Macaca mulatta: one gene and its partners. The protein of the gene in region 2 purifies or fractionates together with the protein of the main gene of each other region. This does not show direct contact. Links are inferred from orthologs where the notes say so. Each region holds a gene or a part of one and is shown on either strand. Other genes may lie near its edges.

The links. Proteins that work in one complex are often made in the same cells at the same time.
Region 1: the proteins of DMD (region 2) and SNTB1 purify together in Homo sapiens (co-immunoprecipitation; 4 studies listed by BioGRID and IntAct, counting the BioPlex papers as one, with this or other methods). This does not show direct contact. The link is inferred for Macaca mulatta from reciprocal best matches to the Homo sapiens genes DMD and SNTB1.
Region 3: the proteins of DMD (region 2) and SNTB2 purify together in Homo sapiens (co-immunoprecipitation; 4 studies listed by BioGRID and IntAct, counting the BioPlex papers as one, with this or other methods). This does not show direct contact. The link is inferred for Macaca mulatta from reciprocal best matches to the Homo sapiens genes DMD and SNTB2.

Annotation. Positions count from the first base shown.
Region 1 is NC_133413.1:131,022,855-131,030,724, forward strand, and holds part of SNTB1 (beta-1-syntrophin), read right to left. Parts: exon of another isoform or gene 6,897-7,870; intron 4,938-6,896; coding exon 4,730-4,937; intron 1-4,729. UniProt on the Homo sapiens protein: Adapter protein that binds to and probably organizes the subcellular localization of a variety of membrane proteins. May link various receptors to the actin cytoskeleton and the dystrophin glycoprotein complex.
Region 2 is NC_133426.1:32,397,002-32,404,871, reverse strand, and holds part of DMD (dystrophin), read left to right. Parts: intron 1-2,346; coding exon 2,347-2,559; intron 2,560-6,274; coding exon 6,275-6,388; intron 6,389-7,363; coding exon 7,364-7,519; intron 7,520-7,870. UniProt on the Homo sapiens protein: Anchors the extracellular matrix to the cytoskeleton via F-actin. Ligand for dystroglycan.
Region 3 is NC_133425.1:64,862,774-64,870,643, reverse strand, and holds part of SNTB2 (beta-2-syntrophin), read right to left. Parts: intron 5,826-7,870; coding exon 5,612-5,825; intron 1-5,611. UniProt on the Homo sapiens protein: Adapter protein that binds to and probably organizes the subcellular localization of a variety of membrane proteins. May link various receptors to the actin cytoskeleton and the dystrophin glycoprotein complex.

The sequences.
Region 1 (7,870 bases), on a different chromosome or scaffold from region 2:
GCTTCTGGTCTGTGATACTGCTCTAGATGGGATTGTTGGAGGCATTACTCATAAGGACAGATGTTTCCTGGGCCCCTTTATAAGGTCAGCTTAGTGGAAAGTGCTGGACTTTGGAGTTAGAAAGAGAAGCTCAAATTCTAAATCTACCGCATACTAGAGGAGAGATCTTAGAAAAGTTACTCAAATACTACAAGTTTACCTCATTGGATTTGGATTATTTGAAGCATATTGCCCATAATAAGTATGAATTACCAACTTCCTTTTCTCCAGTAACGCCATGGGGAGGCACAACTATTTAAACGCTCCCATTTGAAAGAATACGAAATGGAAATTAATAAAGCTGATACCTGAACTTGCATCTCAGAGCTCCCATCTGGGCTTTTGTTTTGCTGTGTTGTGTTTTTGCATATTTAATCTGACAAGAAATAGTTTGCAAACCGAGATAACAAGGGAAAGCAAAGGGAATGCCTGATGAACTGAGCACAAAATATAACTCAACAATTCTGCTGTGTCCCTGTTTATTACTGTTTTTCTAAGTAGCAGGAGAGTCAGAACTTAGCTTGTTTTTCTCTTATCTGAAATGTAACGATAATTGTAAAAGGATTAGATGAACTAAGAAACAAAGATTGGGAAAAATGTGTTTGGGGCATGACGCATTTTACAATTCACAGGAGTTAGTGGCTCATCTTGGGCCACATGGGGGCTTGCAAGGAGTTAAAAGATTTGAGGCTGGCTGGGCGCGTTGGCTCACACCTGTAATCCCAGGATCTGGCCGAGGTGGCCAGATCACCTGAGGTCAGGAGTTTGAGACCAGCCTGGCCAACAGAGCGAAACCCCATCTCTACTAAAACTACAAAAATTAGCTGGGTGTGGTGGCATGTGCCTGTAATTGCAGCTACTCAGGATGCTGAGGTAGGAGAATCGCTTGAACTCAGAGGCAGAGATTGCAGTGAGCCAACATCACGCCACTGCACTCCAGCCTGGGAGACAGAGTGAGACTCCATCTCAAAGAAAAAAAAGAAAGAAAGATTTGAGGCCAATATGGACATGGGAAGGGCTTTACATTGATGTACATGACCCATCTACAGGTGACAGTGCTCACAGACGAAAGCAGATTTTCCATAATTGGTAGCCAGGTGCAGTGGCACACACCTGTAGTCCCAGTTACTTGGGAGGCTGAGGCAGAAGGATTGCTTGAGTCCAGGATTTCCAGCCTGGGCATCATAGTGAGACACTGTCTATTAAAAAAAAAAAATCTTCCATAATCAAGTTCTAGTCAAGGTGTCAGGTCCTCTTATCACTTTTCTCCAGGATGAACTCTCGCTTCACTTTAGATCAGTCTCTGGTCTTTCCCCCCAGTCCCCCAACAAGCCATACTAACACAGGCCTTCCTTCTTTCTCCTCTCTTGGAGTGCAGGGAAATGTCTCCATTCACTCAAATCCCTGTCATTTCTCAGAAGCCATTCTTCAAGTCTCCTGACTATCTCATGAAGAAAAATAATGTTAATACTAAATTTTCCTCCTGTATAGTGTTGAGGAGATTTTAAGATTTGCACTAAACGGAAATTTAAAAAGGAAGTTGTTGTTTCATATTTTTTGAGTTCACATAAATGCCACTTCTAAAAACTTGAAACTAAATTAAATATAATCTGTACAACCTTGTCACAGAGTGACTGTGATAAATTTACAAAATCAAAATATAACAACATAGGAAAAGACAAAGAATGTCAATTTAAGATAAATTACAGCTAGATAGATATAGGATCACATTTTATGTCTTTACAAATACCAAGCGAATTCATGGTATTTATGATAATATAAGAAAGGCATCGTATTAAGGATTTGCCATTCATTGTAACATTTTGCTAAAAACCATTCATATATCTGCACACCAGGATTCAGTATTAAATATTTATTCAAAAAAATCCAGTTTGGATTTGTTCCCTTAAACTTGATCTATGGTAATCTTCTGAGAAGCGTGAAAATGAAGACAATAAAAGACATTCTTGCTTCTTATAATTATCCATGATCATTACTGCTCTTACAGATACTCTGCATAATACCCTTAAGGAGACCTCTGGAATGATGATCTGAAATTACATCATAAGAACAATCATATGCTAAAAACAGGAAGAGCTTTATATGCACATTTATTACTGTTCCATGAGAATGTCTAATAATATGTCTGCTAATAATTTGGGATAAGCAAAAGGCATGAGACAAATTATAGGTGAGAAAGAGTAACCTTTGGAAGATTTTTTAATTTCATGAATAATGGTAATGATTTTAAACATAGCTTGTATTTAAAGAGATGAGAGAAAAGTACCTCTAAGAATTAAGACCATCAACTTGGAAGATGCAAGATTGTATGTGTTGGCCAGCCTCCCTCTGCCCCTTCAGATCCAGTCTCTACCTTTCCCATCCTTCTCTGTACCCTGGGAGACTCACCTTAAGAGTGCATCCATGGGGCTTCTTGCCTCTGGCTTCCAGCCAGCTTCAGCCTTTGGAAGACACCAGCAGGGGGTCAGTGGGCAGGGGTTGGCAGGGGCTGCATTTCTCTTCCAAATACCACAGTGGTAGTAGGTGGCACTTTTCTACAGCTAGAAGCCTCCCTAGTCTCAGGTAACTGCTGCTTCTCCTTGCCCTTTCTGGTCAAGGGATGGTAGTGGCCTCTTACTACTGTTGGCCCTGGAGTTCTTCTCTCTCTCTTATTGGTTTTCCAAACCTTGGCTACACCTTATAAATTATTCCTGCATTAAATCCTTTCCAATTATCCCTTTCAACCTTCCCATCCATCTGCTGCCAGGATCCTAAAATATGTGCTGTATCTCCAAGTCCACCCAGAACCTTAACCAAGTGAGAGCATTTTTCATCACAATCAGCTCCTTCTCTTGTTCTACAGTAAATGTTGGTTGCTTTTGCTTCCCTGGTATCCATTGCTTGTTTTTCTTGCACAGCACCTGATTTTTTCCATTAGAGAACCACCCCTCCTCATCCTCACTGCAAATGACTTAGGTGAGGCTGATTTCAGCACTAAGACTGAACAAATTATCCAAGTCAACCCAATTAGACTTATAATCTCAGGACTTGTGTTGGAACAATTGGGGCAAAGAAGCCATTCTTCACTGAGACAACCAGGAGCAAAGAAAACATAAGCCTGGAACCGTCAGGCCAACTAAAGAGGAAGCCTGGTAATAAACTAATGAAAGGACAGGGAAAGAAAGAGATGGAGACTTAGACTTAATACATTATTTAAGTCCCTGGATCCCACCATGCCTGAAGCTTATCTTTGGACATTGCAGTTATCAGAACCCAGGCATGCCCATTTTGCTCAGGCTAAATTGAGTTGAGTTTTCTGCCACTTGTAATGGGAAGATCCTTGACTATCAGGCCCTTTCCTAATAAAAACACATGCATTTGAAGAGAGTAGAAAGTGGAGAGTGATAGAGATGTGACTTTCAAAATCGTATCAGCCATCCAGATTTATGGTCTTGTTTTCTTCAGGAACCCTAACACATAAACTCATGAAAGGCTACGGGTGGTTTGTGTTTATTATGAATTTGGATGCTCCTATCACCTGCATTGTCCCTTTGGTTCTTTGAAATCTCTGAGAGATAGGACAATACCAAGTCAAACAACCCATCTGGTGTTAAATTGTTAGGCTAAGACCCAGGCATGATCTGCTGCAAACAAAGCACAATGACGGAAAACAGCCAACTGGTGTGTTCAGGTATTATTCCAGGTGCCATATGACCGGGCCTTCTCAGATGACAGAGTTCTTTGGCAGGAAACGTGTTATTGTGACATTCACTATTCCCATTTACTGTCTATTAGAAAGTGAGTCACTGGGAGGTCAGATCATCCCCAAAGTCCAGCGTTCCTGAGCACTCAAGGTCAACTTCAAGGGACAGCAATCATATGTAAGGACAATGGCAAAGACTCAATCCTTTGAAATAGAGAGAAAGAGTAACTCCCAAGAGATGGCCACAAAGTGAGTTTTACTATCTTTAACATATCCCATAACTTGGGAAAAGAAATCAGGGACCGTGTTAATATGACCCAAAGTCTTTTCCACAGCAGCTGTCCTCTCTGAGACAGAGGCTAAGTCTTTTTATGTGTTCACTCCCTCCCCGACTCCTGCCTCGCACTGTGCCTCACAAAAATAGGTGCTCTTTAATGATGGCATTAAAGAGCGGCTGGCTTAACAGCACAAATAAAATATAAGGTAACATAAGAAAAGAGCCAGCTTATAGTAATTGCTCAAGTAATCCTTGCTGTTACTTGTAAATGTATAATTGAATCATCTCAAAAGTGTCTGTGTTATTAACAAACAGGCTCATCAAAACCCACACAAACCCTTTTGAAGCAATAATTTGGACTTCCTTGCCTCCCAAAGCAACAGCTCTGTTCTGAGGTTGAGTTATTTTCCCTTCCCTTCATACATAGAAGTTAAAATCAAACTATTCCTCAACTCACTCGTTCATCCATCATCCAACAACCTGGACCCCGTGCAATCTGCCACATGTTTAACTAAATGCAGGTAATCAAATTCAATTAAGACAAAACCCCTGTATAATGTAAAGGCCTGTAGCCTGCTGGAGAGGGATAAGAAATCCACACAGACTGTGAATGAGAGAATCAGCCTATGGAATGAGATAACTTTAGTGGTTATGAGCGCTGGGGGAATCTCGGGAAGGATGACTATTATAGAGGAAGGTATTTTTCTTACCTTTTCTGCAAGCCAGCCAAGATGCCTAATCTCTCGGCTCCCAGCAATGCCTGTTTTCCCCAGCTGCTCTCTGACCTCAGCAATCACTCGGGTCAGCAGGTCATTAACGTTGGAATGGATGGCACTGAACCATGCCTGGGCAGTGGCTGAGTCCTTGCTCCTTAGGATCACTGTGTGCTTAGCATCTGGAGAGTGGATTTCAAGCTGCCTAGAGGAACATAGAGAAAAGGGTTAGAAAGTTTCCTGGCAGGTCCTGCTTCGTCAAGACCTGGGCCACAAAGGTGAATTAATTCTTTACTCCTATTTTTAGACTTTGTCAGTTTCCCATGGGATGCCTTAATGGTCCCGCTATCCATTCATTCACTCATTAATTCATCCACGCATATTTACTGGGTGCCCAAGTACTGGTCTACATACTGGGAACACAGCTGTGCAACCACCAAATCACCTAAATTAAGGTTATCTGATTTTCTTGTTATTCAGCTGATTTGCTGATTAGTAGTATCATATCGAGACTTCCAAACTGTGAGCTGATACTAATTTGCCTTACTTCTTAATTCACAGAGGATTTTAATAATATACTCACATCCTTGCTGGTGCTGGCAGGAAACAGATTGAAATATATCTAGCCACATGCTTAATCCTGCTGCTCAGTGTTAATCAATTGAGAATATTTTAGAATCGAAGATGACCAAACTTTGCATCTTTTAGGAATTTTGTCTGTAGCACATTTAGCGTCCACTTAATCCTCAGACCCATGGTGTGAAGGTGTGAATTGGCTTAGGAAGGGGTAACAACGGGGAGAGAGCACTTAAAATATTATGTATTTAAAGTCCAGGCCCAGCATGCTGGCTCACGCCTGTAATCCCAGCACTTCGGGAGGCTGAGGTGGGCAGATCACCTGAGGTCAGAAGTTCAAGACCAGCCTGGCCAAGATGGTGAAACCCTGTCTCTACAAAAATACAAAAATTAGCCAGGCATTATGGCAGGTGCCTGTAATCCCAGCTACTCAGGAGGCTGAGGTGGGAGAATTATTTGAACCCGGCAGGCAGAGGTTGCAGTGAGCTGAGATCAAGCCATTGCACTCTAGCCTGGGCTACAGAGTGAGACTCAGTCTCAAATAAAATAAACTAAAATAAACTAAAATAAAAATAAAAGTTCAACGACAAAGCTTATGCCAGAACTCTAATTGGATTACTGAAGAAACAGAGAAATCTGTATACTGTAATTGTGGTAAAAGAAGGAAATTCTCAACAGATACTTTATGTCATTAACTTTTTATTTTGAAGTAATTATAGATTAGCATGGAGTTGCACAAATAGAACAAAGAAGTCTGGGATGCCCTTTACCAGTTTCCCCCAGTGGTTATATTTTACCTCCTGTAGTACACTATCAAAACTAGGAAACTGACATGGGTACAATGTGAAGGTGTAGTTCTATGCCATTTTTTCATGTGTAGATTTGTGTAAACCCCACTGCAATTACAAGGCAGAACTACTCCATCACCACAAAGCAGAGATCTTTAATCTCCCCCGCAACTACCCCTTTTTAGTCGTGTGTCCCCCACCCCCACCTAGTTGTTGTCCCTAGGCAACAACTAACCTGTTCTCCGTATCTGTAAATTTTAGATACTTTTTAATTGCATAGAGAAAAAAAAACCCCAATATTCATTCATGTGTATATGCAATAAATATCATTTATTCATTCATGTTTACATTAGAATGATACAGGGATTTGGAAATTCAAAGCTGAATAGAATTATCCATTTATTAACTTCCTTTCATCCCTTAATAATCATGCTATTATTCACTGAGAATTTACTATGTGCCAGGCAAACTTTTAAATCATTTTATATTATTATATATAATGCTTCTAATAGCCCTATGACTGATATTATTAACCCCCCCTTAACGGAAGAAAAAATTGAACTTTGGAGAGAGAGAGAGAGGAAGAAGCAATTTACCCAAGGCCACACTGTTGGTGGTGCTGGGATTCAAACCCATGTTTTTTTTAATTTTTATTTATTTATTTTTTAATTATTATACTTTAAGTTCTAGGGTACATGTGCACAATGTGCAGGTTTGTTACATATGTATACATGTGCCATGTTGGTGTGCTGCACCCATCAACTCATCAGCACCCATCAACTCGTCATTTACATCAGGTATAACTACCAATGCAATCCCTCCCCCCTCCCCCCTCCCCATGATAGGCCCTGGTGTGTGATGTTCCCCTTCCCAAGTCCAAGTGATCTCATTGTTCAGTTCCCACCTATGAGTGAGAACATGCGGTGTTTGGTTTTCTGTTCTTGCAATAGTTTGCTGAGAATGATGAAAACCCATGTTAAATAGGCTCAAAAGCCTGTGAATTTAAATACTATACCACAATACCTTTCCTTGAGATTGGACAATGTCCTATGGGGGGCATTCACTGACTTCTGCAGTGATGTGAAGTGTAGTATTCATCATCAACAACCATGCCCAATAATGTTCCACCTAGCTCCTGAGTTTCAAAATAACAATTTTGCAGATGGCTTGAGAGTTAGAAGACCCAGTGCAACTTGGCTTCATTAACATTTGAAACCAACCTTTTACAGTGACTAAACCGTTTTACCACAAGCATAAGTTGTAGAAGAGGGAAGGTTTGGAAAGTGGGATGTCACTAGGAGAACTTTAGCCATAATTAGTATTCTTTTTAAGGAATTTGCAAAGCCAGTCTCCCCAGTGAGATACCAAAAATTTTATGTGATGGAACAGGGAATTCTTTTGGTGACAACTGTCCTCACACAGAGGAAAAAAATCTCATGCCTCTTAGGCATATTTCAAAAATATGAGTAATAAATCTAAGGTGAGAGTTTCCATTCTCTCCCTAAGTTCTCACTCTTCAGTAAAGTTGCAGAGCAGAATACAAACTAGCATTCTCAAGAGCATCAATGAGAGCTTAACTTGTTTTTCTTCTATATCTTTAAAACTTTATTTTTAATTGACAATGATGGGCTGGGCGCGGTGGCTCATGCCTGTAATCCCAGCACTTTGGGAGGCCGAGGCAGGCGGCAAGGTCAGGAGTTCGAGACCAACCTGGCCAATATGGTGAAACCCCATCTCTACTAAAAATACAAAAATTAGCCGGGCGTGGTGGTGG
Region 2 (7,870 bases):
TTGTTTCCTTTTGTTGCAGTTTTTAATGCTTGGCATAATGATTCCAAAGTCTATTTGGAAAAATGTGTGGCCTAATAGAACTAGTAAACTTTAAAAAATAAGAATAAAAACGTGCAACAATAAGGAAAGTGAAGAAAACACACAAGAAAAGGCAATTAGATGAGCAGAAGACACTATTTCCACTGAAAAAAATAGGAAAGAAAATAATCGTTCATAAATATTATTGGGAAATGTATTAATTAACAAAAAAATAAGGTATGAACATTTCCCCCAAAGTTACACCAAAATAAAAACCACATACAATAGAATGTTCAAAAATGTGGGGAAGTGTAAACTTTGGAAAATGTTTAAAATAATAATGTTATAAAAATTGAGGTAGAGAAGCTTAAAAATCAATGGAAGCAATCACAGTCATTGTAAAAACACCAGAGACAATTTTAAGGAAATATGATACCAAGGAAACTTTCTTTTTTTTTTTTTTTTTTTTTTTTTTCTGTGAGTAAGGAAGAAAGTCTTGAGTAAGGTATCCTCCAAAAAGAGACATATATGAATAATAAATCTATGAATAATTGTAACTTAAATTGTAAAGGAAGAAGTAAAAAAAAGTTACAAAATGAGGTAACTTTTTTACATACTAAATTGTGTACACACACACAAAAGATATAAGTATGGATTTGGAAGTGGTGAACTAAAAATTCTCTCTTACTGCTGGAAATGTAAACTCAGTATGAATTTTACTGAGGTTAACACTTCAGTGCATCCTAATAACATACAACAATGTTAATATAATTTCCAGGAAGTCTATGTCTTACAGAAATAATCAGAATACACTCAAAGATGTAAATGGAACTGGAGATAGATAGGACATTGATGGATGGATGGATAGATAGATAGGTAGGTAGTTAGAGATAAACATAATTTACATGAGTGGAAAACTAGAAATCAATTTGTAGAACTAATAATGGAAATTGTTAAACTAGAGAAGCCATTACAATTTTTGTTTTTGAAAAAACAAAAAATTGACAAGGGCAAATGCTCCCAATAAAATAACCTAGCTCAAAGTGTAGTTACATGCTAGGTATTGTCTAAATAATCAGTCATAGGGGAACAATTTAAAACAGTGAAATAAAAGTAAAGTAAAAATAAACAAGTTGGCCGGGCGCGGTGGCTCAAGCCTGTAATCCCGGCACTTTGGGAGGCCGAGACGGGTGGATCACGAGGTCAGGAGATCGAGACCATCCTGGCTAACACGGTGAAACCCCATCTCTACTAAAAAATACAAAAAATTAGCCGGGCATGGTGGCGGGCACCTGTAGTCCCAGCTACTCGGGAGGCTGAGGCAGGAGAATGGTGTAAACCCAGGAGGCAGAGCTTGCAGTGAGCTGAGATGCGGCCACTGCACTCCGGCCTGGGCGACAGAGCGAGACTCCGTCTCAAAAAAAAAAAAAACAAAACAAAAACAAACAAACAAAAAAAACCAACAAGTTAAGTACCACCAAATAGGCATAGGATACTATGAAACTACAAAAGTTAGATGTTTGACAAATTTTGGTTGATATAGGTCAAATTATGTGAGAAAGAATAACTGGGTATGTGTGCATATATGATCATATATTTAATATTTAGCTATACATAGAACAAATTGATAATTTATATAAAATGTAGTTCTTTTTTTTTCATTTTTTTAATGAACCTTTATTATTTTATAAAGAGAAAGTTACATTTAAGTAAATATTGAACAGGGGAAGCCTAAAGTTGTCATCCAATGTAAGAAATTTCATGTGTCATACAGAATAAGTATAAATAAATTTTATAAATTCTCCACAAAATTATCCTTGAATCCCACCATAATACTACATAACAGAATAACATTTTTTGAAAATATGAAACATTAAGTACATATTCAGTAAGTTTTTCTATTGCATATATCAATATTATTAGCTATAGTTTTGCGTAGAGTTTACTTTCCTGAAAGCTCAGTATAATTAACTTCAACTCCATTAACTGTATCACAACTGCTGTTAGTTATATATATATACTTAATTCAGTAAAATTAGATGCACCAAAACTCTTTGGCTCTGTAAGATATAGTTTTGAGATATATTTGACATTGTTTAGAAAAATGCATAGGGAGTGTTAAATAAAGTATCACTAAGTAATATGCAGGTTACTCTTAGGATAATATGTAAAATTTAAATTACCACTAGATGTTTATAACTGATATAAGATCATGTACTTTGTTTACATGTTTGAATCATAGATTTCATTTTAAGTATAGTTAATTTAATGAAAACTCATCAATTATTCATCAATTAGTATAAATGTATTTAAAAAATTGTTTTTGAGGTTTTACAAAGTTCTCTGCAAGAGCAACAAAGTGGCCTAAACTATCTCAGCACCACTGTGAAAGAGATGTCAAAGAAAGCCCCCTCTGAAATCAGCCGAAAATATCAATTAGAATTTGAAGAAATTGAGACACGCTGGAAGAAGCTCTCCTCCCAGCTAGCCGAGCATTGTCAAAAGCTAGAGGAGCAAATGAATAAACTCCGAAAAATTCAGGTAATTCAAGATTTTACTTTCTACACTCATTTTTATGTACTTGTTATTTTCCTAACAATACACTGTAAACTGTAAAGGTACGCAAACATTTGACCTCCAGCATCTTTCAAAGTTAGTGATAAGATGAAAAGACATGAGTCTTTTACAAAGGATGGTGATTTGCTTATTCCTTCTAAGAAAAGAATAAGAGTTTTCTCAGTTTTTTGTAGAATTAATTTGCTATTTTCACCATTACCAATAGGAATTAAACATGTTTTTAGTTTAATGATTTTCAAAACCAATCATTCATTTAGTCTGGTTGTCTTTTAAGATGCAGGTAATCATTTATCTTATGACTAGGAAACAGTTATGTATATATACATTAGTATATGTATAATGTATAGTATGTGTATTATTATTTCCTATATTACGTTTTGTTTCTGCTGTTTTGCTATTATAAAAAGTATGAGTAAACTATGCTGTCTACATGTGCTATTATGTATATAAAATACAGTGATATAATCATAAAATTGTATTATATATTAATCCCATTATGTATAACTCCATATATGTATATGTGTAGGAGAAATGTAGGTGTATTAATGTCCTGTGACACTCCTAAGAAATTACCACAAATTTAATGGCTTCAAACAACATAATTTATTATATTACAGTTCTGGAGGTCGGAAGTTCAGAATTAGTCTCTGTGGGCTAAAATTAAGGTGTTAGCAGAACTGTGTCTGTTTTGGAGGCTTTAAAAGAGAATGTGTTTTATTGGCATTTTTAGCTTCCATATGTATGTATATATACACACATATAATGTGTACATATGTGTATATATGTGCATATAATTGAATTATATATCATGTACATATATACATATCTAAAGTAATCATATATCACATATGTAACATGTTATGTATATTAATGTTACATATGTAAGATATAGTAATTATTTTATCACCATGTTGAATTTGTAATTATATGCTTAAATTTTACCCCATCACCTTCTTCCTGAAACCAAATGCTCTTGACTTAATTTGTTTGAATAGTGCCATCATAGTAATAACCACTCAAACTAAAGAAAAACAGTAAACCGACAATTGCATTAAGATCTAAAAGCCTGAATTATTCAGTGAGGTAAGTAATGTGTCCCTTGAGTGGTCAATTATTGTGAAAAATGTTAATACTGGGAAGGAAATGTCAAAAACATTATGGTATGATGGAAAAACATTGCAACAAGATGCTCCTGGATTTAAATCCCAGCCTAGCTACTTAGTTTTTGTGCTTACCTTTTACAAACCGAAGCACTAAGCAAACCTAAAACATTCTTAAATGCATAGCATGTCTTTACTTATAAACATATGTGTACATGCATACCTATGTAAATACTGCATGAAAATATCTATTATTTACCACGACCAGTGGCCTAAGAGGACACAATTACATGCCTCTTGTCATCAGTGAGTCCACATTCTAGCGAAGGAGGAATGTAGATATATTCGTTTCCTATGGCATCCTAACAAACTGCCAGAAATTTAATAGCTTCAAACAACACAAATTTATTACAGTTCTGGAAGTCAGAAGCTCAGAATTAGTCTCAGTGGGCTAAAATTAAGGTGTCAGCAGGACTGTGTGTGTTTTGGAGGCTTTGAGAGAGTCTGTTTTTTGGCATTTTTAGCTTCTAGAAGCATTCCTTGGCTCATATCCCCATCCTCCATCTTCAGTGTCAGCAGTGTAACATCGTCCAGTGTCAGTTTCTCTCTCCCTCTCTATCTCCATCTCCCTCTCATTCTACCTCTCCTCCTCCTCTTCCTCTCCCTGTCCTGTTCCTTGTGTTGACTTCCTTTTAATTAGGACCTTTGTGATTACATTATGCCCAGGTGGATGATCCAGTATAATCTCCCCATCTCAAAATCCTTAAAGTAATCACATCTGCAAAGTCCTTTCTGTCATGTTGGGTAATGTACTCACAGGTTTCAGAGATTAGGGTGTAGACATCTTGGGGGTAACATTATTCAGCCTTCCATGGTAAATAAAGCAATATGGGAAAGGTTGTCACAGTAGGCAGGAAGGAAATCTAACATAAACTAGAAAAAAAGATTGTGAAATATTATTGGAACATAGATTATCTCTGCTATAGATTGAATAGGTAGAATTTAGTTAGATAATACCGAGAAAGGAAGAGTTCTTGAGAAAGCATCGCAGCATTTTCAGTTAACTGGAATAAGTTCAACATTGGGGAGACAATATATATGGGGATTAATAAAATATTATGGTTGGAAAACTGGTTTGGGAGTAGACAGTGAATGGCCTTGGATGCCACGTTTTACGATCTGAGTTTTAATCTAATGGTAATGAGAGTGATAACAATAACAATAAGAAAAAACTGCTATTGGTTAAAGAGGGAAATAATATGATTCCACTTGTGTTTTCAAAACACTCCCATGGCAAGAGGAAGGAGGAGAAGAGAAGATTCCTGGCTTCACTGTAGATCAATAATTAGAATGAGGTAAGACCGAAGCAGATATCAAAATGAGCCAGTGCATTAATGGAGTCAGTAATAAGACCTGAACAGACCAGGCATAGTGGCTCACACCTGTAATCCCAACACTGTGAGAGGCCGAGGTGGGTAGATCACGAGGTCCAGAGATCAAGACCATCCTGGCCAACATGGTGAAACCTCGTCTCTACTAAAAATACAAAAATTAGCTGGGCATGGTGGTGCACACCTGTAGTCCCAGCTACTTGGGAGGCTGAGGCAGGAGTAATCACTTGAATCTGGGAGGTGGAGGCTACAGTGAGCCAAGATTGTGCCACTTCACTCCAGCCTGGGTGACGGAGCAAGACTCCGTCTCAAAAAAAAAAAAAAAAAAGACCTGAGCAAGGACAGTGAAGATGTGGAAAAAGAGCAAATGTAGACTTGAAAGACAACAGCAAGGTGATCATGTTGAAGTTCTCTGACTTAGATAAGTGCTTTAAAAATTATTATTAATCATCATATTAAAGGGGAAACTTTCTGTGGAGCATGTATTTTCAATATACATTTAAGTAAATTGGAAGAAAACTCATGTAGACAGTAGAGTTCAATCATACTTTTTAAAAGTAGCGAAACAGCAGAAAGAAAGGTAATATGGCAAAGAATCATGGATGAGAGATATTGGCTATTTATAAATGATAAAAGATGATGATTTTTACCTGATCATTACTTCATACTGGTCAGACAAATAAAAACAAAAGCTCTCTCTTCTAAGATGACAAAATCTTAGTCCGAAAGTTCACAACTGGAGGGACTATTTAAACTGTCATCTGTAGAAAACAATTTGTGAAGTTCGAGTTTAGGGAGGCTATGAAGACACCATTACATTGAGTTTATTGTTCATAGTTTGTTTTATGTACTGTAAGGGCATATTGTTAGTATTCTCATGAGTTGTTTTGTAACTTAAAATTTCTCTAGAGGGGGATATGATTTAATGTTCTTGAGAGTAACATCATAAAACCGCATTTGGTAGTAATTTTTTATTTTTAACAATAGCAGACTTCACACACCAGTGCTCATACAGTAGACCATAAAAACGCAGTCTTAGTAAAAATATTCTTTTCCTCAAGAGCTACTTAGAGACATCCTTTAAACATGGGAATCGTTTTTGGGCTTGTGTTTAGACATAACACAATGATGAATTGTATTAGAAGTAATCAGCACACCAGTAATGCCTTATAATGGGTCTCGTTTCAGAATCACATACAAACCCTGAAGAAATGGATGGCTGAAGTTGATGTTTTTCTGAAGGAGGAATGGCCTGCCCTTGGGGATTCAGAGATTCTAAAAAAGCAGCTGAAACAGTGCAGAGTACGATTTTTATATGATGTCTTTAATATGAATAATTTTGTATGAATATTACTTGGTTAGATCAGTGTTTTACAGCTGGGGTGGATTTTGCCCTCCCCTCACCAGCAGATGTTTTTTTTAATGCTTGTAGACATTTTTGATTGTCATAACTGGGTTGGGGGTGGTGGTTAGATGCTACTGGTGTCTAGTAGGTAGAGGACAGAGATGCTGCTAAGTATCTTTCAGTCCATTGAACAGCCCTCCACAACAAGGAACTGCACAATCTAAAATGTCACTAGTGCCAATGTTGAGAAACCCTGGGTTGAGTAAGTGAGGAATTGAGAAAGCATTGCCTTGTACTCAACGTCAGTTGATAACATTATTTTGCTATAAAATGCAGTATAATTTAAAGGTAAAGAATCCTTTGAGCTACTTGTTATTTCTTACAACAAATTATTATTCATACTGTGTTGTTCTCTTCATGTATAATGCACTGTACTATAACACAATATGTAGTTTTGAAATAATATTCAGTATACCACTGTCATGCAGCAGGAAGAAAATAATCTTGCTCTTTAAAGAATTTTTTTTTACAATACAAGCTAAAAAAGCAAATCCACCTTCACACCCATTACACTGTAAACAATTATCTGCAATATCCTGTGTTTGAAAATGAAAATACTAACCAAGATAGTAAAGTATGAAGCCCATTTTCACACATTTTTCTAACCAGAAATATTAGATTTATTTCCTTTTGTTTCTGATATAAGTAAAATACAAATAATTCCCCACTGGATTCATGCCATAATAACCATTGAACATTTTTGCAAGACTGTTATGCAGTTGTCTATATCAATATATTTGTATCTCAGATTTTAAAAGACAAAAATCCATATGCGATGCCATCAGTCCTAATTTTACATTTTCTAGCTATGTTGCATATTTAATATGTGGCAGTAATTTTTTCAGCTGGCTTAAATTGATTCATTTTCTTAGCTTTTAGTCAATGATATTCAGACAATTCAGCCCAGTCTAAACAGTGTCAATGAAGGTGGGCAGAAGATAAAGAATGAAGCAGAGCCAGAGTTTGCTTTGAGACTTGAGATAGAACTGAAAGAACTTAACACTCAGTGGGATCACATGTGCCAACAGGTATGGACAATGTCTTTCACTGTGGCTAGTCTCAATGTAGTTAAGATTTCCTAATGTCTCCCTTCACCATTACTTTTGTTTAAGGCTTTGTTCCTACGCTGTTGCTTTAAAGCACAATTAATTCTGACAAATTAATCTTTTTTCTAGCATATATAAATATTTTCATAGTATGTATTTTAAATAGTACACATTCATCTTATTGTGGTCCTAAAATGACTTTCTTGAAACAGCTGTCATACTGAAAAATGAAATCCTATTCGTAGTCATTATTTCCAATCCACGTTTTCTTCAGAACATAAATGTATAATAATAGATTAAGAAAAATACATTTCACAGGGATATTTGGTACAA
Region 3 (7,870 bases), on a different chromosome or scaffold from region 2:
GAGGAAGGGAGTAAAATTCTTCTTCCCCTGTACTTACTCATTCTGATCATTAGCACTTTTTACTTTTTCTCAGCTCTATGGAACCAAATCAAAGTAGTAAAGCAGAAAAAAAAGGCATTTTCCTCTAATATCAAACACATTTTTGGTTTAGAAAGTGAAGGCTTTAGATACGAATGAAGGATGAGCCACAAAAAGATTCCACTATGTACCCACCAGAAAGGTAAATATTAAAAAGACTGATAACATCAATTTTGGTGAGGATGTGAAACAATGAAAACTCTCATATAATGGCAGGAACATAAAATGGCACAAAATAGCACAATTACTTTGGAAGGAAGTCTGGCAGTTTAGCTTATTTTATTTTTTTTATTTTTAGTAGACATGGGGTTTCGCCATGTTGGCCAGGCTGGTCTCAAACGCCTGACCTCAGGTGATCTACCACTCTCGACCTCCCAAAGTACTGGGATTACAGGCATGAGCCACTGTGCCCAGCCTGGCAGTTTGTTGCTGTTGTTATTGTTGTTTTTGAGACGGAGTTTCACTCTTGTTGCCCAGGCTGGAGTGTAAGTAATGGTGCGATCTCAGCTCACGGTAACCTCCGCCTACCGGGTTCAAGCGGTTCTCCTCCCTCAGCCTCCCGAGTAGCTGGGATTACAGGCATGAGCCACCATGTCCAGCTAATTTTGTATTTTTAGTAGAGATGGGGTTTCTCCATGTTGGTCAGGCTGGTCTCGAACTCCTGACCTCAGGTGATCTGCCTGCCTCAGCCTCCCAAAGTGCTGGGATTACAGGCATGAGCCACCACGCCTGGACTAGTTGTTTTTTTTTTTTTTTTTAAGCTAAATATGCACCTATCCTTTGACCCAGCAATTCCACTCCTACAAATTTACCCCACAGAAATGAAAAAGTTTCTGAGGCCTTTAAACCAGAAGAAGAAGAAGAAGAAAAAAAAGGAAAGTACAAAAATATTCAGTGACTTTATTAATACTAACTCTATACTGGAAATTGCTCAAGTGACCATCAATAAAAAACAGATGAACAAATGGATATTTCCTTTAACAGAGCTGAGATAAATTTAAGGACCAATGAGCTCCAAGTTATTTTATTATTTTATTTTTATTTTTATTTCTTTTTGAGACAGAATCTTACTCTGTCACCTGGAGTGTCCAGGCTGGAGTGCAGTGGCACAATCTCGGCTCACTGCAACCTCCGCCTCCCAGGTTCAAGTGATTCTTATGCCTCAGCATCTTGAGTAGCTGGGATTACAGGTGTGTGCCACCATGCCTGGGCAATTTTTTGTTATTTTTAGTAGAGACAGGGTCACAAACTCCTGGCCTCAAGTGATCTGCCTGCCTTGGTCTCCCAAAGTGCTGAGATTACAGTCACGAGCCCCCTGCCCCAAGTTATTTTATAGATTATTATTTATTCTCATTCTAAAGTATATAGTTGAGCAGATATTACGACCATTCTACAGACAGAGAAAACAGGCGGCCAGAGAAATTAAGGAACTTATTTAAGGTCACAAGGACACTAACAATGCCTATAATAATAACTTGAGAACTTACTGATTCTATAATTACTGTCTTATTTAATCCTCCTATAATCTTATTTTATACAGGGGAAATGCAAGGCTTGTGGAAAACAAGTAGCCTGACCAACATTACGAAGCCTATCTTCCTAACTTCTATCTTCTCTCATAACTGAGGTCTAATTAGTTAATGGTTCTGTACATTTTTTCTGCCAAGACACACAGATGTTCATATTCCCATAAGTATAGCCGAAATTATGCATATTTTTTGCAAACTCCTTGTAATCCTAATGCTCTTATGTCTAAAAAGCACATGGAAATGCAAGTATAAGTGGTATCATCATAGGAATAACTTTGAATCTCTTCCAATTTATATTTTACAAAAAGCAAATAATGTGCAAATTTTTTTATTTTTAAAAAATTTTTTTTGAGACACAGTCTTGCACAGTGCCATAATCTTGGCTCACTGCAACCTCTGCCTCCCGAGTTCAAGCAATTCTCCTATCTCAGCCTCCCAAATAGCTGGGATTACAGGCGTGCACCACCACACCTGGCTAATTTTTGTATTTTTAGTAGAAACGGTGTTTCACTGTGTTGGCCAGGCCGGTCTCAAACTCCTGATGTCAAGTGATCCACCTGCCTTGGCCTCTCAAAGTGCTGGGATTACAGGTGGGAGCCACTGCACCCGGCCAAATTTTGATATCTTAAGTAAAATTAGAACAAGTTGCTTTGAAGCATTAAGACTGAGAATCTCAAAACTAGCGTGGATCTTCTAAGACCTTTCCTTATATAGTATGCCATGGTCAAGTAGACTGATCATTTATTGAAAAGGAAGGTATAATAGCACAACTCTGGTAGCCCCAAACTGCCCTCTCCATTTGGTTCTGAAGACCTACTTCACATGTGACCATCACCAAATGTCTTTAGCGTATAAATATGTCAGAGAATTCAGCCCCCAAGTTTTAACAAAGACCAAGGTTACTGGACTTCAATCCTTAGTGAATGATGAAGTAGCACAACATTTAGCAATACAGCCAAGTCATATCATCTTCTTCCTTCTTTCTTTGCCCACTCCCACAACCCTGGGTTTCTATAGAAATTTTATAACATTTTGCCTTTTTCTTCAATACCCAGCTACATCAGCAGCACTATAGGTACCTATTCTCAGAAATAATTTATTGCCGGGCGTGGTGGCTCATGCCTGTAATCCCAGCACTTTGGAAAACCAAAGTGAGTGGATTGCTGGAATCTAGGAGTTGGGGACCACTCTGGGCAATGTAGCAAAACCCTTTCTCTACAAAAAATACAAATATTAGCTGGGCATAGTGGCATGTACCTGTAGTCCCAGCTACTTGGGAGGCTGAGGCAGGGGAATTACTTGAGCCCAGGAAGCAGAGGTTGCAGTGAGCTGAGACCATGCCATTGTACTCTAGCCTGGGCGATGGGAGTGAAGCCTGTCTCAAAAAAAAAAAAAAAAAAGAAATGATTTATAACAAAATTGACTCTGTACTTTTCTCAGCCTGACAGCTAGTTGACAAATGTAGTTGTAATTTGTTTTTCTTTATCACATTGTTTCTCTATTCTATTTAATTCTCTATGGTCCCTAACTTAAAAAAAAAAAAAGCCCATAATTAACAGACCAACTGCTCTATATAAATGTATCTCTTTTCTCTCTCTCTCTCTTTTTTTTTTTGGTAGAGATAGGGTCTTGTTATATTGCCCAAGCTAGTCTTAAACTCCTGGCCTCAAGCAATTCTCCTGCCTCAGCCTCCCAAAGTACTGAGATAAGTGTGAGCCGCCACCATGTCTGGCTCAAATGTATCTCATTTATTTTATTTATTTATTTATTTATTTGTTCTTGAGACAGAGTCTTGCTCTGCCACCCAGGCTGGAGTGCAGTGGTGCAATCTCGGCTCACTGCAACTTCTGCCTCCCAGGTTCAAGCAATTCTTCTGCCTCAGCCTTCCAAGTAGCTGGGATTACAGGTGCCTGCCACCACACCTGGCTAAGTTTTGTATTTTTAGTGGAGACAGGGTTTCACCATGTTTGCCAGGCTGGTCTTAAACTCCTGACCTCAAGTGATCCACCTGCCTCAGCCTCCCAAAGTGCTGGGATTCCAGGCGTGAGCCACCTATCCCAGCCCAAATTAAATTATTACTTTATGAAAAGAATACAAAATTTCTTTAAAGATCAAGCTGTGTTGCACTTAGATGATTCAACATACATACAACCTTCCAGGAATAAACCTATACGTAGCACAAAGTAATTTCTACAATGTCTTGAACTTTTAAAACAAAGCCAAAAATTTAAATATATCAGAATATAATTTTCAAAACGTGTTTACATAGTAGTCAGTTAAGACTTTTCTTGGCCGGGCGCGGTGGCTCAAGCCTGTAATCCCAGCACTTTGGGAGGCTGAGGCGGGCGGATCACGAGGTCAGAAGATCGAGACCATCCTGGCTAACACGGTGAAACCCCGTCTCTACTAAAAAATACAAAAAACTAGCCGGGCGAGGTGGCGGGCGCCTGTAGTCCCAGGAGGCTGAGGCAGGAGAATGGCGTAAACCCAGGAGGCGGAGCTTGCAGTGAGCTGAGATCGCGCCACTGCACTCCATCCTGGGCGACACAGCGAGACTCCGTCTCAAAAAAAAATAAAAATAAAAAAAAGACTTTTCTTAAGAGACAGGATATTGTTCTGTCACCCAGGCTACAGTGCAGTGGCAAAATCCTAGCTCACTGCAGCCTTGAACTCTTGGGTTCAAGTGATCCTCCCACCCTAGCCTCCCAAGTAGCTAGGACTACAGGTGCACGCCAGTAAGTCTGGCTAATTTTTTTTTTAAATGCCGTAAAGGCAGCGATTCACTATGTTGCCCAAACTGGTCTTAAATTCTAGCTTTAAGCAATTCTCTAACCCTGGCCTCCCAAAGTGCTGGGATTACAGGTGTGAGCCATTGTGCTCAGCAGAGTTAAGACTTTTTAAAAATACTATTTCTTGAGAACCTACTGTATGTGCTTGGCTCTGTGTAAGGGCCTTTACAGGTACCATCTCATATAATCAGCACACTAAGTATCATTATCCCTTTTTTTACAGATGATGATATGGTGTTGTATAGAAGTGAAGGGACTTGCTCAGAACCTTACTTTGAGCAGGTGACCTAGTTGGGATTCACACCAAGATCTATCCGACTGCAGAGCTCAGTTCATTCCAGCAAACCTTGTAAAATACTACAGAGCAGAAGCTTTGAAGCCTTAAATACCCAAGGAGGCCTTAAAAACCCAAGGAGGCAATTCAGTTTCTTGGTGTCTTCTGTGCTCCATTCCATCCTGATCAGGCACCTGGCTGTGCATTAAGATCAGAGGAGACCATAATAGTGAAAACACATTATAAAAAGTCTGTCCTTAACTATGTCTTTGGGCAAGTTATTTTCATCTTATTTTTTCCCCTAATCTCTAACTTAACATTCGGTCTACCAGTGCCACTTCATGGAGTTAATGAAGACAAAGTTACAGAACACATATGATTATAGAACTAGGAGGGACATCAGAAATCATCCAATCTAATTTTCTCATTTTGCAAATGAGGAAACTGAGGTCAAGGGGAGCTAACTTGCCAGAGTCACACTGCTGGTTGATTCAGCCAAAACCATAATGCAGATCTCTAACTCTATACTACCTACAGTCTAAGGAATTTCCATCTAAGGAGATACTTAAAAATTTCTCTTTAACAAGAATTCTTTCAATTATAAAGTAATACATATTCATAGTGAAAAAAGTAATAACAACATTATGGAAAGATATAAAAGGAAGAGAAGATGCCCCCTCTTTCTTTCTCTCCCTTAATCTTATTTGACACCTTAGGGGTAAAGCCATTAACTGTTTCTTGTGTGCCTGTCCAAAATTTTTTCTACACATATACATGTATATATGTAGAATAACTTAAAATGTGGAACCCCAAAAATGCATCTCTCACCTTAGACTGATGTTTTCCTCTGTATAATTAAGTTAACAGAGTCATATAATACTGCAACATGTCCTTAAGTTTGTAAAGCTGTAGGTATGATGATCTTGTTAGGTACACCTCACCTGTTTTCCAGATCCGGCATGCTTAGGTTTCTAGCAGCAAAGCACATTTTGAGAGGGATGATCTTCCTGTCTTTGGTGCTGTTCTGGTGTTTTGGCGAACCAGAGTCCTCACTGCCACTAAAGCTTGGTGACTGGGGGGCTGCACCTTCCCACGGCAGATCTGATACTAATGATGGCTTCTTGATATATGGTGTTACTTCTCGGATGAACTTGACTATGAACAAAAAAATCAAAGAAGGTGGTTAGTAATTTTGCTTCCTATAATAAATGATAACTAAAGTATTCACATACATGCTATATCTATAACAAAGTGGGGGAAATGGCTGGGCGCGGTAGCTCACACCTGTAATCCCAGCACTTTGGGAGGCCAAGACAGGTGGATCACTTGAGGTCAGGAGTTCGAGGCCAGCCTGGTCAACATGGTGAAACCCCATCTCTACCAAAAATACAAAAAATTAGGTGGGCGTGGTGGCACACGCCTGTAGTCCCAACTACTCAGGAAGCTGAGGCAGAAGAATCGCCTGAACCCAGGAGGCAGTGGTTGCAGTGAGCCGAGATTGTGCCATTGTACTCCAGTCTGGGCGACAGAGCAAGACTCTGCCTCAAAAACAAACAAACAAACAAAGAAAAAGTGGGGGAAAAAAAGTAAGTTAAAGAGCCATGAATCCGCTGGAGATAGATTCAAAGTCAGACCCATCTAGGCTTTAGATGACTCAACCTTTAGAAACTTCTCCATACTTCTACCCATTGGTTCCCTGTCTTCTCAAGTCATATAAAACAAACTTAATCTCTCTTTTACATGAGAACTCTATAATTATCTGAAGACAGATTTTTCTCTTCTCTCTCCTCCCCATATTAAGCCAAGTATTTCTATTTCCATTCAATTCAATCAACTTTTATTAGCTACCTATCAAGTGTTGGGAATTAGGCTAGCTAGTAAGGACACGAGGGCAAATGAGCCATGGATTCTATCCCTCAAGGAATGCCCAGCCTTGCAGGGGAGACAGCTATGTAAACAGGTCATTACAGTTCTTAAAATCATTACAGTTCTTAAAAGTGCAAAAATAAAGCATATTCAAGATAAGGTATGATCTAATAAGCACAAAGCCAACTCAACTGATCCCGCTTGCTTGTTCAAAATACTCTGTTTCCATTAATGTAGCCCCAAATGAAAATCAAGCTTTTAGTAAATAGAAAGCTTTTTTAAGTTCAATTTTAAAACTCATGAAACTCTTCTTTTACTTCAGTCATGACTACAATTACTATCACTTGAGGCATGGTGTTCTTGTTTCAAAAACTAGACAAACTGGCTGGGCACAGTGGTACACAGAGTTTCTCCTGTGAATAAGTAAAATATGCACATAAAATAAAACTCAAGAGGTATAAAAGGTTTTATAATAAAACTCCAGATTTCTAGCTACCCTGTCTCCATTCCTGGAGGCAACCATTCAAAGAGATGCCTGGTATGCCAAGCATGTATGAAAGTAAACACATACATGTGCATGTATATCTGATCATACATATGGTAGTATATTATGCTTACTGTGCTGTGCCTTGGTTTTCTTTATTTAATAAGGTTGATGATAGTCTTTTATTGGCCTAATAGTTGATAGCTAATTCTACAGCATGATGTGGTCATAGAGATGCCTTTGGAATCAAGAAGACCTGGTTCAAAACCTAACTGTGCTTCTACTCAAAGCTATGTGACCACCCTTAACTGTTCTGAGGTCCTCATCTACAAAATGAGAGTAACACTAAGCAAATAAAAATTTCAGGCACATACTAAACATTCAATAAATACAGTAGCTACCTTTCTTTTTCCTTCCCTAAATTAGAAAGTTAGAGAAGAGTTAAAAAATGTTAATGGTAATCAGTAGAAGAGTTAAAGTTATTTTCTTAAACATTATTTAAAAATATTTACTAGGCTGGGCGCGGTGGCTCAGCCTGTAATCCCAGCACTTTGGGAGGCCGAGGCGGGCGGATCACAAGGTCAGGATATCGAGACCATCCTGGCCAACATGGTGAAACCCTGTTTCTACTAAAAAAAAACAAAAAATACAAAAAATTAGCCAGGTGTAGTAGTGGACACCTGCAGTCCCAGCTACTCCAGAGGCTGAGGCAGGAGAATGGCGTGAACCCGGGAGGCAGAGCTTGCAGTGAGCCGAGAACGCGCCACTGCACTCCAGGCCTGGGCGACAGAGTGAGACTCCATCTCAAAAAACACACACACACACAAAGATTTACTGAAATTAAGTATAA